Linked DNA regions of Caenorhabditis elegans. The protein of the gene in region 2 interacts with the protein of the main gene of each other region in a pairwise test. Each region holds a gene or a part of one and is shown on either strand. Other genes may lie near its edges.

Region 1 (6,965 bases), on a different chromosome or scaffold from region 2:
GAGTCATCAAGATCTGTGCGTCTCTTCTCAGCCTTGCTCTTCAGAATTCTCCAGTTGTCACGAAGTTGAGCAAGTTTATCACGTATCTCTGGAGCCAAGAAGTGTCCTTGTTGAATCATGTCATTGGCGGCACTGCTGACACTCTCGATTTGGCTATCGTGGTTGGCAATCTCAGCGATCAGAGCCTGCTGCTTCTTGATGAGATTTTGAACTCCAATCAAATCACGTCCTCGATTGGTTGATCCAGCAACTTGTTCCTTCTCACGGATCCAAGCCAGCTCATCTTCAATATCGCGGAACAGTTGATTTCCTTGGTGGGACTCTCCGAGTTTTCTTTTTCTCTTCTCAAGTGGATCACGGAGAGCGTTGTAGCGCTGCTGAAGATTCTCTTGCTTGCGAACAATGACTGGAGCATTGAAATGCTCCTCCTCTTGGAACTGTTGAGCAAGTTGCTTGATTCCATCAACACGATCGTTGTGAGCGTTAAAATCAGACTCAATAAGTCCAATCTTCTTCTGAAGGTTTTGAACAGATACAAGATCTTTTCCATAATCCTCGGAAGCAACTTGTCCTTCAAGCTCCGACAACCATGCTTCAACATCTTCAATGTTGCGATTGAATTGCTGTTCGTTTCCAGCTTCACGAAGTTTGGCTCCCTTCTTGTTTGTAGCATCGACCAATTCGTTCCACAAGTTGTTGACTTGACGAAGGCGGTCTCCGATCTGAAAAAAAGTTACTAATAGTTATAAAAAGTTGATAACTTACATGATCAGCAGCAAAGTGTCCACTATCGATGATTTGCTCTCCGGTAGAACGAATATCGTCCAAACGGTTCTCGTTAGCCTTAAGCTCTTGCTCAAAGTTGATGTGCTTTTGGAGTTTTCCACGAATGTTGGTAGGATCCAAGTAAGAATCGTCACGAGCGGTGGACAGTTTTTCAGTGATCCAGCTAACCATCTCATCACAGTCACGGTCAAATGTCTGGCGCTTGTAGCTTTCCTTGAGAGCATTTCCACGTTGACGAGCTCTGTCTAGAAGACGACGACGACGGTCAAGAAGAGCTTGGCGTCTCTCGGCAACATCATCAGCAGCGTAATGCTGTCCTTGAATGAGCTTGGTAGCAAACTCGTCAAGTGCATTGATCTTCTCCTCTTGAGCAGCAAGCGATTTCTCAAAGTCCTCGTGTTTCTTGATGAGGTGCTCGACAGAATCTAGTGAATCTCCCAAATCAGTGTTGGCAAGGAACGCTTCCTGCTTGTTCATCCAGGTTTCGGCTTGTTCAGTGTCACGATAGAAGAGTTGGAGATCCATACATTGCTCGTAGAGAATACGACGTTCCTCCCACAATCCAAGAAGAGAAGACTTCTCGTGGTCAAGTTTCTCGAGCTTCTCCTGAACTTCTGGACTCTCTGGAATTCCCATCTCAACGAGCTTTTGTCCAGCGGATGCAGTTTGGTTGAACGAGTCAGCACGAGCATCAATTTCTCCCTTGTGTTCTTGATGACTTTCAAGAAGAGCTTCAGCGCCAGCCACGTCTTTTGCAAGCTCATCAGCTCCGATGACAGCTTTCATGTCTCCAATCCAGCTAATCAAGTCACGGTAGTCGGCCAAGAAACGATGAAGCTGGAAGCTTCTCTCAAGTCCATCTTTGCGGTGTTGAGCCTTCTCCTTGAGTGCATTCCAGGCGGCTTTGGTGTCATCGTTCTTTTGATGAATCGCTTCAGCACGATCTGGATGAGTTTCTGCCAACTTATGAGCTTCTTTCTCCAATTGGAGCATCTTTCCTTCAAGAGCAGCAAGATCACGTTCAGTTCCTTCATGCTTGCGTTGAAGAGCTTGAACATTATTGAGGTCTCTTCCGTAATCATCGCTTGACAAAGCAAGATCCTTCTCTCCAATCCATGCAAGGGTCTCGTCTGCATCGCGATTGAAGCGTTGAACTTGATGAGCTCCAAAGAGCCCTTCCTTACGAGTGGCCGCCAAAGTGTTCAAACGATGCCAAGCATCATTAACGTCATCGCGCTTCTTGTAGATCTGATCGTGCTCAGAGTGTCCCTCCTCGACAAGTTTGTCAGCAGCTTGATTGATCTCATTGATTCGGTACTGATGGTTACCGAGTTCTTTCAAAAAGTCGTCAAATTTACGCTGAAGTATCTCAACGTGTTCGAGATCCATTCCCATGTCTTCTGCGGTGACATAGGTTTCCTTCTCTCGAATCCAGTAGAGAATTTCATCGCATTGACGAATAAAATGCAAAAGTTTAAGTGCTTGTTGTAGCTTAATTCCCTTATCCTTCAGTTTGAAGAAGAGCTTATCCCAGAGGGCGTGCAACTCTTCCAAGCGTTTCTGAAAATAATTAATCATCAGACTGTCAAATGTCTTTAGTGATTTTAAGTACCTTGATGTGTTCGCTAGCGAAATGATTGTGTTGGATCATAGCGTTTCCGGTCTTGTCGAGGTTGGCGATGGTCTTAGCGTGAGCTTGAACCTCAGCTTCGAACGCTTCATGCTTCTGGATCTTGGCCTGAAAATGTTTTATGATTTACATTTGATCATACTTTCATTTTGATGTAAAAAAATTTTCTCTTTCAATTCATGCTTCAAAACTAGTCAACTCTTACTCTCATTTTTTTTTCAACCGCTAAACCTAGCAACAGAAACATAATCGCCTCATCTATCTTCTTACTCGTCAGTATTACTTATCATTCCAGGCATTACAGGAAACCGGCGGATCAAGTCAGGTCACGTCAGTTGCGATTACGCAGTGTCAAGGCCGTGTACGAACGCCCGACTTTTTATAGATTCCCGTCTATTACTATATGTATTCATCTCATCTTTCGATCGGAACGCATGATAAAAAACGGCGGCGAGGATTAATTGGAACCCCCACAGGAATTTATTGGGTTTTCAGTGTGTTTCATTATAAGTAAAGGTGAATGATATTAGGAGCAGTAAAAAATTGTTTCCTCAAAGACTTTTTAACTCCTAATTTCTAGCGCTCATATCTTCCAAAATGACGATATTGTGTAAAAAGATTTCATTTTCATCTTTTCTGCTTCCCAGAAAATAACTAAGTTAGCAAAATTCACATGTACTCCTCTCTACTCGAGCCAATTGTTTATAAATGTAATTGTGCACTACATTGCTTTCAGTTCCTAATCTTCAAGTGAGCATGCATGTTGGGGGTCGCAGATGCGTTTCTCGAAACGAAGGCACAGAGAAAAGCGCTGAAGCGAACCACTCAAATCAATATATTTTTGCTGCTGCGCCTTTGTCGTTGCTCCCAAAAGACATTTGTGTGCCCCCAAACAAGGCAGCAGAAGAAAGGGGTCCGAGTGTCCCCCCGAGGGAAAATGAACCAAGAGAAAAGAATTGTGCGAGTTGTCGTCAAAAAGGATTGAGAATGGAAAGCTGGGGACCAACCACAGAAAATTTATGTTTTAGATAACTTTGAAATAGATGATGAATACGACTGAGAAATAATGAGAAGATGGTACCAACCTGGAGATTGCTCGGATCTCTGAAGTTTTCTTCCTGAGCTGTCTGGAGCTTTTCAAGAATCCAAACGTTCAACTCATCAGCATCTCTTTAACAGAAAAATTAGAATTCTAGACAACCCAACAAAATTTTAGAACTAACCGTTTGAAATATTGAAACTGACGAGCTTCCTCGAGACGATCTCGTTTTGTCTGCGAGTGATCCTTGAAAATTGAATAGTGACCTAATACTTCCTGACGACGTTGGTGAATGTCATCAGCAGTCTCCAGAATACGAATCTCCTGTGGTGGCGGTACTTCTAGCACCGGCTCTGGTGGAGCATGAGTGTCATTCGAATCAGCCATAATCTTATTTCGCTGAAAAACAATTGTTTTAAAACCTCCATAGAAATGAAAATGAAAGAAAGTTGATTATGAAGAGACCGTAACAGAAACAAATGAGCAAATAAATGAGAAGAATGTAACAAAAAAAATCAGAGAGAGCTTTAGAGGATAAATACAACGTGGGAACAAATAATGACGAAGTGCGGAAAAGAATCACCTGGGAGACAAAAAATAATAGAAAATGGGAAAGCTTGTGGCTTTAATTTAATAAGCTTATAAATTCTACGAATGAAAATTTACCAAGAAAGTGTTACTCAAAAAGTATATCATGTCAAAAGTAATTTTAAAAGGTGGTTCCATTTCCAGCCCACACAACTGTCAACATTTTTGAACTGATAACAATATTTCGATGAGTCAGACTAACTCCGACTCCGCCGTTTACAAGCTGTGTTGAAATTGAACACACAGCTGTCAGAAACAGAAGAGACATTACAAAAAAGGGGTTTTGCACAATGCAGCAAATTTTGAAAATGATGAAACAAGAAAGAATATGCTCTCAAAGTGAAAAAAGGAGATGACTTCAACTGGTTCAAGTACAAGAAGAGCTGGCAGCTATCGATCGCCCAAAACGACCCCCGCGTCCACAACACCAACACAAAACCGAATGCAGAGAACGAGAGAGTGTGGCTAGAGAAGCAGAGACAACAAGAGGGGAGACGACTGCAGGCCTGGACGCGCTCGTCCCGCTCAGCCTCGCACACAGCCGCGCTCTGACTGCCCTCACACACACTCACACACACACACACTCACAAAAACGCACTCTTCTATTAAATGCCAGCGATTTCCTCTCAACAGCACACAGTCCCTCACCGAATGCATCATCCTCCATCTCTCCAGTTACTCGCAGTTTGACTCTCTCTCTCTCTCCGGGGTCTCCGCCAACACACACACCACCGACCACACATTTATGTATATATTCGGAGATGGAGTATAAAGTATGTCCTCCAAATATTTGCAAGTTTCACTGATGTGTTGTCAATAAAATTGGGTAATCGATTTGGAACGGAAGAAGTGATGATGAAAGAGAAAGTGACAGAAATTATTAAAACGGGAAGCGGGAAAGCGGGAAGGATAACCGAAAAAACATAACTTCAAAATTTGGAAGTAAAAGTGAGTAAATGAGCAAATTAGAAATTTCTTTGCACAAAAGAATATTCGTTTTAGTTTAAAAACCACGATACAAAACCTCCAAACTCAAATAACTACATCCACTTACGCTAAACAACTGAATGATTTAAAACAATAGGGGACCCCATTCTATCAAATCTAAAAGCATCCACACAAAAAGCCGAAAAAGGGATTCTTCAAGGGCTTTTTTCTTAAGTGACATGGTCAAGCTTTGGTTCATAACAAAAGTGAGCAAACACCGGAAACGGGGAGCCGCGCCAAATCTGTCAAGTGCCGGATGGAGGCCACCTGCGTTCGAAAACTTCCTGCGGACACATGAGTGAAGGACGGCAATGAAGGAGAAGGAAACACAAATGAAAACTATTAGTTCTCTCTCGTTTTCGAGTTCGTCACACTCTGAGAAGAGGCAAAGAAATTCGATACAGCTCGGGGCGACGTTTCGTTGAAGACGGAGGGCAGAGCATCTTTCAAATTCTTATTTTACGTCAGAATTTGGCATTGATGCCAACGGAAGTTTTGTTTGAAATGAAGAATAAAACATTATAGAAAATACAGTGTGGGAAAGTTCTATAGGACCCCCCCTAATTTGAAGGTTTGAGGAACTTCCGAAAATTTTTTTGAAAAACTGCTAATGCCATTCGTTTTTAAATTGAAAAAAACCTATATACATTTTTTTCCAGAAGTTTATCTCAAAAACTGAGGTCGCGCTGGAAAAAACGTCAAAATCCAGTGTGAAACTTCTATAGGACCCCCCGTTTTTTTTCACGATTTTTACTAAAATCAACAGATTTTGGAATTTTTGACAAAGCTCAAATCAAGTTTGAGTTAGAAATGAGTTCATATAAGCAGTTTTGACTTTAAAAATTAATACGAAATGTTCTCGTGGGATCTCCAGACTGGTTCTGATTCTTCCGATCTTTGATGTTCAAGTCTGTTTCAAGCTTCCTGGTGCTCTCGGTAATGCCAAAACTTGATAAACTCTCTTTAACAAGTTCCTACTAAAATTCCTAGCACGCACTTTAGATGTTTCGACTGTGTAGTCAAGCTGATTTGGCAAAATATGCAGCAGGAAACAATGGAAGGCTTATCAGGAATCAAATCGTTTTTCTTTGATTACAAGGTTCCATGGGACCAATATTTCAAGTTAAATTGTCCCTCACAGATGTTATTTACTATTTTTTGCGTGAATTATTAAATGTGGAATTGTGGCATGTGTTGTGGCACACATATAGAGGCTGGAAAGCTTACTTCGAAAGCAGTCTAACTTGCAATGCCTCGAGGATCTGCCCTTTCGGACACTGAACGCGCTCAGCTGGATGTTATGAAATTGCTCAATGTGTCCCTGCATGAAATGAGTAGGAAAATTTCCCGTTCTCGACACTGTATCCAAATATCTTCGTCACTACTCCAGAAAAGACTTTAGATTTCAGCAGGATAATGCGACAATCCATGTGAGCAACTCAACCCGCGACTATTTCAAGCTCAAGAAGATCAACCTTCTTGATTGGCCAGCTCGAAGTCCTGATCTCAATCCAATCGAAAATTTGTGGGGGATTCTTGTCCGTATCGTGTATGCTCAGAACAAGACTTACCCAACAGTTGCATCGTTGAAGCAAGGAATTCTCGACGCTTGGAAGTCTATTCCGGACAACCAGCTGAAAAGTTTGGTCAGATCAATGGAGGACAGACTGTTTGAGATCATCCGCACACAAGGAAACCCGATTAACTATTGATCCTTTCTTGATTTTAGTATATGAATGTTCTGTTGTTGATCAAAAATAACTGCAACTTGTTAATACGCTGTTTCTGACTGGTTTCTTGGGGATGGCGTAAAAATGTTTATGGTGTGTGTGCTAGGAATTTTAGTAGGAACTTGTTAAAGAGAGTTTATCAAGTTTTGGCATTACCGAGAGCACCAGGAAGCTTGAAACAGACTTGAACATCAAAGATCGGAAG
Region 2 (6,783 bases):
TCCGGCAAACCGGCAATTCGCCGAAAATCAAATTTCCGGTGAATCGGCATATTACCGGAATTGAAATATTCCGGCAAATTGGCAAATTGCCGTAATTGAAATTTTCGACAAATCTGCAAATTGCCGGAATTGAAAATTTCCGGCAAATCGGCAAACCGACAAATTGCCGGAATCGAAATTTCCGGCAAACCGGCAATTCGCCGAAAATCAAATTTCCGGTGAATCGGCATATTACCGGAATTGAAATATTCCGGCAAATTGGCAAATTGCCGTAATTGAAATTTTCGACAAATCTGCAAATTGCCGGAATTGAAAATTTCCGGCAAATCGGAAAACCGACAAATTGCCGGCATTGAAAATTTCCGGCAAATCGGCAAGCCGACAAATTGCCGGAATTGAGAATTTCCGGCAAATCGGCCGATCGGCAAATTGACGGATATCAAATTTTCCGGCAAATTGGCAAACCGGCAATTTGCCGATTTGCCGAACTTGTAGACAAAAAAATTTGCCGCCCATCCCTGACATATATAAGAACAAGGTTAGGGTTTACTTTACTCAATTGTTAATACATTTAAAAAAATGTTCAAAAAGTAATACCTGATCTGACACTTCCTGCGACTGCTGTCTCGATGATCACGTCTTTACTCCATTGAGAATGTCCATTAACACTTCGAGATCTTACTTTGAATGTGTAATCAACATTCTGCTTGAGCCCCTTGATGATGACGTGTGGAGCCCCGACATAAGATGCTCCATCGACTGGTGCACTCTGTGATGCCTCGTACACAATGTATTCATATCCATCGATTGGTGTGTGAGTCTCATCGCATCTTGGAACATCCCACTCCAACTTGATGGATTGACCATCAACGTCGGCGGATCGGATGTTGGTTGGAACACCGGCGGATCCGATGCAGGATGTCTCGGCTGCTTCTCCGACAGTCAATTCCTCGGTTCTAGCGACAACCTTGTTCTGATCATCGATAGCAACGATTCTGACAGTGTAGTATGGTGCATTCATTTGTGAAAGAGCAACTGAATAGTCTCCTGACTCATCGGCAACTCCCTTCTGTTCACTTGTTCTCCATGTCGTCTCATTTGGAAGTCTGTACTCCAAAATGAACTTGCTCACCGTGATCGAGGTGGTCGGAAGCTTCCAGTGAACTGCGAACTGTTGTTTTCCCTGATCGACAACTTGCGGCTTCTCCTCCCAACTCTCGATTCCACCGGATGTGGTGTAAGCCTCGATCTGGTAGACCTGCTTTGGTTCATGATCAACGAAAGCGATGACTCCAATCGTGTACTTGGTGTTCGGGCGGAGACCGGTAAGGGCGAACGAGTTGAGGGCTGGATCGACACGACGACGTTCGACGCGTCGGGAGTCATCGTCTACTTCCACCGCGGTGACCTGAAAAATGAAGGTTTTGATGGCGTTTCTAGAAATTTTACGGGCCTCACACGTGGTGCCAGGCTGATCCGTCACGGTTTTATCTACAAAAAATGCGGGAATTTTTCGCCAAAAATATGTGACGTCAGCACGTTCTTAACCATGCAAATTCAGTTGAGAACTCTGCTTCTCTTCTCTCGCATTTTTTGTAGATCTACGCAGATCAAGCCGAAATGAGACACTCTGACACCACGTGCACTCGGAATTGCTAGAATATATCTAAGTTAGTTTAGGGGTTTTCAAAAATTGCCATCGGAGAAGATGCATGTCATGTCCTCGGCTCAGCAGATTGTCAGGCGGCCCGTTTGCCATGTAGCCCACGAATGATACTTCTAACACTTTGCCGTCTAATTTTCGTAGCGAATTAGCCAAAAATGCCCCTACTTTCAAGTTCAGTAGAACAAATAGCGCCATATTTTCGAAAATCACTGAAAATTTTCCAAGGACCGTGCCAGTGGCTTGCAAAATTTGACGGTATCAGATCTGGGACTTCAGTACCAAGACCCGACGAATCGGGTAAATTTTCGGCGGCGGGAGCCTAATCGATACAAAATGATCAAGGCCATAAAACGTATTAGCCGGCATCTGAGTACCCACTCAGATTTTGAAAATGTCTAGATCTACTCTTAAGAACTGCTTACCTCGTAATGCTGAAGTCTAGGATCGGTGAATGGTTGCCAGCTGACACGGAGTTCCGAGTCGGTACGATACAAAAGTTGAATATTATTCGAGATCGGAAGTGCGTCTCCCTTGGTCTTTGCCTCCAAAACTTCCGAATTCCATGGTCCAACGTTGCGGCTGCGATCGGCGGCACGAACCTTCACACTGTAGAAGGTGCCCGGCAGAAGATTTGTGACAGAGACGTGTGGCTGAGTGACAGTTTGTCGGTGGATGTCAAATGGAGCAGAAACACCGGTCAACTCGACCTGGTAGTCTCCGACGGATCCACAGTCTGGAGCATCCCACTTAATGGCAAGAGAGTATTGGGCGACTTCTGTCACTTGTGGGTAGCGAGGTGCAGTTAGGTCATCTGAAATTACGGTTTTTTGTTTTTTTTTAAGCTGTTTCTAAAAATCTTACCATTTTCACATTTAATCGAGACAATTTCATTGTGAGCCCGAATCTCGGGTGTCTCCACAAGAACCTCGTTATTCTCGCCGATAACCTTGATCCGTACGAGATAGGAGATTCCGGTGGGGAGCTTGGGAATCTGTACCCGGTACTGATGATTTGGTCCCTTGTACGGTATGATTCCCGGATGCAGCTGCCATTCTCCACTTCGCTCGGGCCGGTATTCAACGAGGAATCCTTTTACTTCTGAGTCAGCGTGATCTCCTGGAAAAAAGAATTCAATAGAGCGCGTTTTCAACGAAAAACTAGGCTTTTTTACTCAGTCTTCGCATCTAAATATTCTCTATTTGCGTTTTAGGCTTCAAGCTCGGGCCTCAGGGCTTTTAGGTAAAAATGTGAGACTTACCAGTTTGAATTCCTTCCCATTCGACTGTGAGAAGACTATCTGTTCCACTTTGGCGTTTAACTCTGACGTCTGAAAAAAATAGGTTTTTTAGAGTTTTTTTAGATTTAGGCTTTAAGCCACAAAAAAAAAGGTTGCTTTTCCAAAATTAAAAAAACAAATTTTTGCTCAAAATTTGAAAAAAAAAGTGTTTAAGAAGTTAGCAGATTTTTTTTATATTTATTTGTTTTCCAATTCTCTTTAGCTTTATAAAGACAAATTTCAGAAATGGAAATGTTTTTTTTGATTAGCAACTTTCCTACTTTTTTTGGCGTTTTTTGATTAAAATCAGATTTTTTTTATTTAGCCAATAAATTTCAGTAAAAAATCACAAAAATTTAGGGACAAAAATTTTGAAAAAAACATGTTTCAGGATATTTAAGAATTTTGCCAAATTCCATAATTTCTTTAAATCTCAAAAAAAAATTAGATTTTTTGGAATTTCCACAAAATCTATGCTAAATATTTTTTAAGCTAAAATTTCAAAATTTCAACAAAGTTAAAGCTGTTTTATGAAATTTCCAAAAAATTTGAGGCTAAAAAATTTTTGGCATAGACATTTTAGGCTTAAAATTTTTTTTTTTTTGCTAAAATTTTTTGGCCTTAAAACTTTTAATTTTGTTTTCCTTCAACGTTCTATAAATACACTTAAAACTGAAACTTACTGGAGTTTAATGCTACATTTGCTAGGGTAAATAACTGAAGATAGCATATCCCGAGGGAGAGGAGAAGGAGACCCCTCGAACGGAGACCCATCCTAGAGAAAGACCTGTAATTGGGAGGAATTGATTGATAAGAAGAAGACGAAGAAACAAGAAAATGAAAATGGAAAGCATAAAAGTAATAGTAATAGCTAAAAAAGGGGGGAAACGAACAGTAGTAGATTAGTTTGAGTCAGCAGAGGCCGGGGAGGGGGGGCTAGTCTACATTTTTTCTACCTCCCAATTTTTCGGCATTGTTTATTGTGTAATCGAGAGGGGGGCGGCTGTTGTTGTAACCGGGTAATTGTGACAGGAAAAAAGAAAAAGGTGAAAAAGTTTTCATTTGAACGAAAACCGTTGTTTGAAATTCATTCCTGACACGAAATGACAGGTGTATGCAGCCATGCTTGTTATTACCCCTTTCTCACTTTGACAGTGAATATCTCTGTTCGTTTACAAGCTGGTAAAATTTTGTAAAGTACAAAAATGTAGAAAATTTTATGGTCTACATTACGGTAATTGGTAATTTTTTGATATCTGTAAAACTCGCTGAGATATCAGCAATCAAATTAAAAAGGTAAAAAACAGAGCGGGAGATTGAATGGGAGGAGGTAGTGTGGACGGACAATTGAAATGTGAGCTACATAATGTTCAATATACCAAAATACTATTAAGAAGTACAATAAAAAAAACAATGGGAAGCTACAAAAAATTTAGTTTATAGCCGAAAAGTGTGCCCTGTTTTGAAGTAAATCAAAAAATTGAAAGTTCGGTTGTCCGAGAGGACTACACAAATTTTTTCTTGTGTAATTTTTTGTGTCTTCGAGATTTTTTAGAAAAATTTAATTTCAGAAGTAAAATAATTCACTTTAAAATTTTTTTTGGATGTTTACAGCACCAAAATCCGCCTGAAAAAAATTAATGAAATAGCTCGAAAATTCGCTTGTCTACGAGGAGTACACGATGAAATTCAGGTAAAAATCAGCTTTGTTAACGTTTTTTAAACTTCTTAAACGTACAAGTTCATAATCCACAATATTAAAAATTTTACGAGAATTTAGATTTGTGTACTCCTCTCGGACAAAAAGCAAACCGAAATTGATTTCTCACGGGTTTAACTCAATTTTGACAAAATGTTTTGTGAAATTCCTGAAATTTTTGTTTTTTTAAGTTAGAAAAGGGTTTTCATAGTTTAGGAAGTGACGGGTATCAAAAAAATTATTCAAATCTAGCAGCTGTAAGGGTAACCCAAATCATGGTGCATCGGTAAAACAAATTAGGCGATTAAAACACTTTTTATTGAAATGTTGAATAATATACGTATTTAATTACAAGTGCAACCTAAAATACCTTACTACTTACTTTCTAAACAAAATTAGCACTAAAACTTTGGGAAAATTTAGAAAAAATTTCCTCGAAAAAAAAATTTTTATTCAAAATTTTGTTTTGCTTCTAATTTCTAAATTCAGGCCAAAAACCCAGCTCAAACCTAAAACTACCAAAACTAGTCAGTTTATAGGCGAAACGCTAGTGTGATAAGAAACTTTATAGGGGGCTGTACTAGAATAACAAAGTAGTATCAGAAATCCCATTCCATCTTTTCTCATCCGATTCTTCTCTCCCCTTCCCCATCCCCATATATAACACAGAATCAATCACAAACGGTCGTTTAGACAACACACACACACAGTCAGCAATGCAAAAAAAAAGAGGCAACACATCTTCTTCTCGGTGCCCCTTTCCCCACCCTTACCCCGGAGAGAAAGAGAAATAGTACACGGAGACGAAGAGACAAAGCGTACAGAGAATTTAGGGTGTGGCTTTCTTAGAGAAAGAGGAGGAATATAACGAAACCGTTTTCAGTTATGATTTTTTTTTTCTTTCCTTCTTGGCCCCCAGGTTACTCCCCTTTCTCAAGAGGGTGTGTTTTTTAGAAGGAGGGGATGGAGAGAATAAAACACCAAAGAGCGAGAAGATAAGTTAGGTATATGGTGATTAATTATCACAGAGATGGGTTTTGATAGGAATTGGAGATACGGGAGAAGATGCATTTAAATTCACAGTTTGGGAAAGGATGGGGTGGGGTACATTAAAAAGGGTTTGCTCTAGAATTTGCCCAAAAAAAATTGGGAACATTTGGACTTAAAGTTTTTGGAGTATGACAGTTTAGAAATTCAAAAAAAATCGTTTTCTTAACTTCAAAAAACGATTAAAAGAAGGTTATATAGTTTAAAAAAATTTCAAATGTATAATTTCGTAAACACTACGAAAAATGCCCTAAACTATCATAAATAGAGAGGTTTCCGAGATGGTGCATCAAAACAAAATCTCAAAAAGAAATTGAAAAAAAAGGAAAACCGAACAAAAATAGCGCCAATATAAAAGTATAAAAACTCTCGGAGACATGGTGCATCAAGAAATCGGAAAAAAAATATTTTGAATTATTTTTAAAATGTACTGAAAAATTTGTTGAAAGTACACATTGCATCAAAAATTCAGTGAAAAATGACCCTAAACTGTTTTTTAGAAAAGGTCCAAGGCGGCATGGTGCATTGAGAAGTTGGAAAATATTATTTTTATGTTCAAAAACTAAGAATGAAATTCTAAAATCGGTCAAAAACTGATGAAGGGCCCAAAGAAACATGGTGCATCGAGAAATTGGGAAAATGTGAACTTGTTTTTTTTAAATGTATATTAAAAGTACATTAAAAATGCTAAAACGAAAACGGGCCAAAAATTTAGATTCTGGACTATTAAAAAAGAATGTCAGAGACATAGTGCATCAAAAAATTGGGAAAAATGGATGTTTTTGTTGAATATATGTATGTAATTCTATTAAAAGTGAATATCATTTACTGTATAAAATCATAAAATAAGTCCTACTGTTAGAATAAGTTCGGAATAATTTTTTGAATTTTTTTTCCAAAATTAGGTATAAAAGTTTATTTTTTTGTTTTTTTTTAATCGATCGAAAAGGTAGATCCTCAAATATTAAATAAAAAGAGTCAAGGACATGGTGCTTCGAAAAAATGGGGAAAATGGATTTTATTTTTATTTTTGAGTATATTTAATTAGTCATTAAAAGTAGTCCCTAGACTATTAAAAATGGTTCTAGGGACATG

Evidence for each region.
Region 1: the proteins of let-805 (region 2) and spc-1 interact in a two-hybrid assay, tested with the Caenorhabditis elegans proteins (one large-scale study listed by BioGRID).

What each region holds. Positions count from the first base shown.
Region 1 is NC_003284.9:3,123,220-3,130,184, forward strand, and holds the start of spc-1 (Spectrin alpha chain), read right to left. Parts: upstream 3,843-6,965; coding exon 3,640-3,842; intron 3,587-3,639; coding exon 3,502-3,586; intron 2,525-3,501; coding exon 2,399-2,524; intron 2,347-2,398; coding exon 766-2,346; intron 723-765; coding exon 1-722.
Region 2 is NC_003281.10:2,655,029-2,661,811, reverse strand, and holds the start of let-805 (Fibronectin type-III domain-containing protein), read right to left. Parts: upstream 3,730-6,783; 5' UTR 3,717-3,729; coding exon 3,626-3,716; intron 2,994-3,625; coding exon 2,925-2,993; intron 2,783-2,924; coding exon 2,528-2,782; intron 2,478-2,527; coding exon 2,089-2,477; intron 1,409-2,088; coding exon 598-1,408; intron 1-597.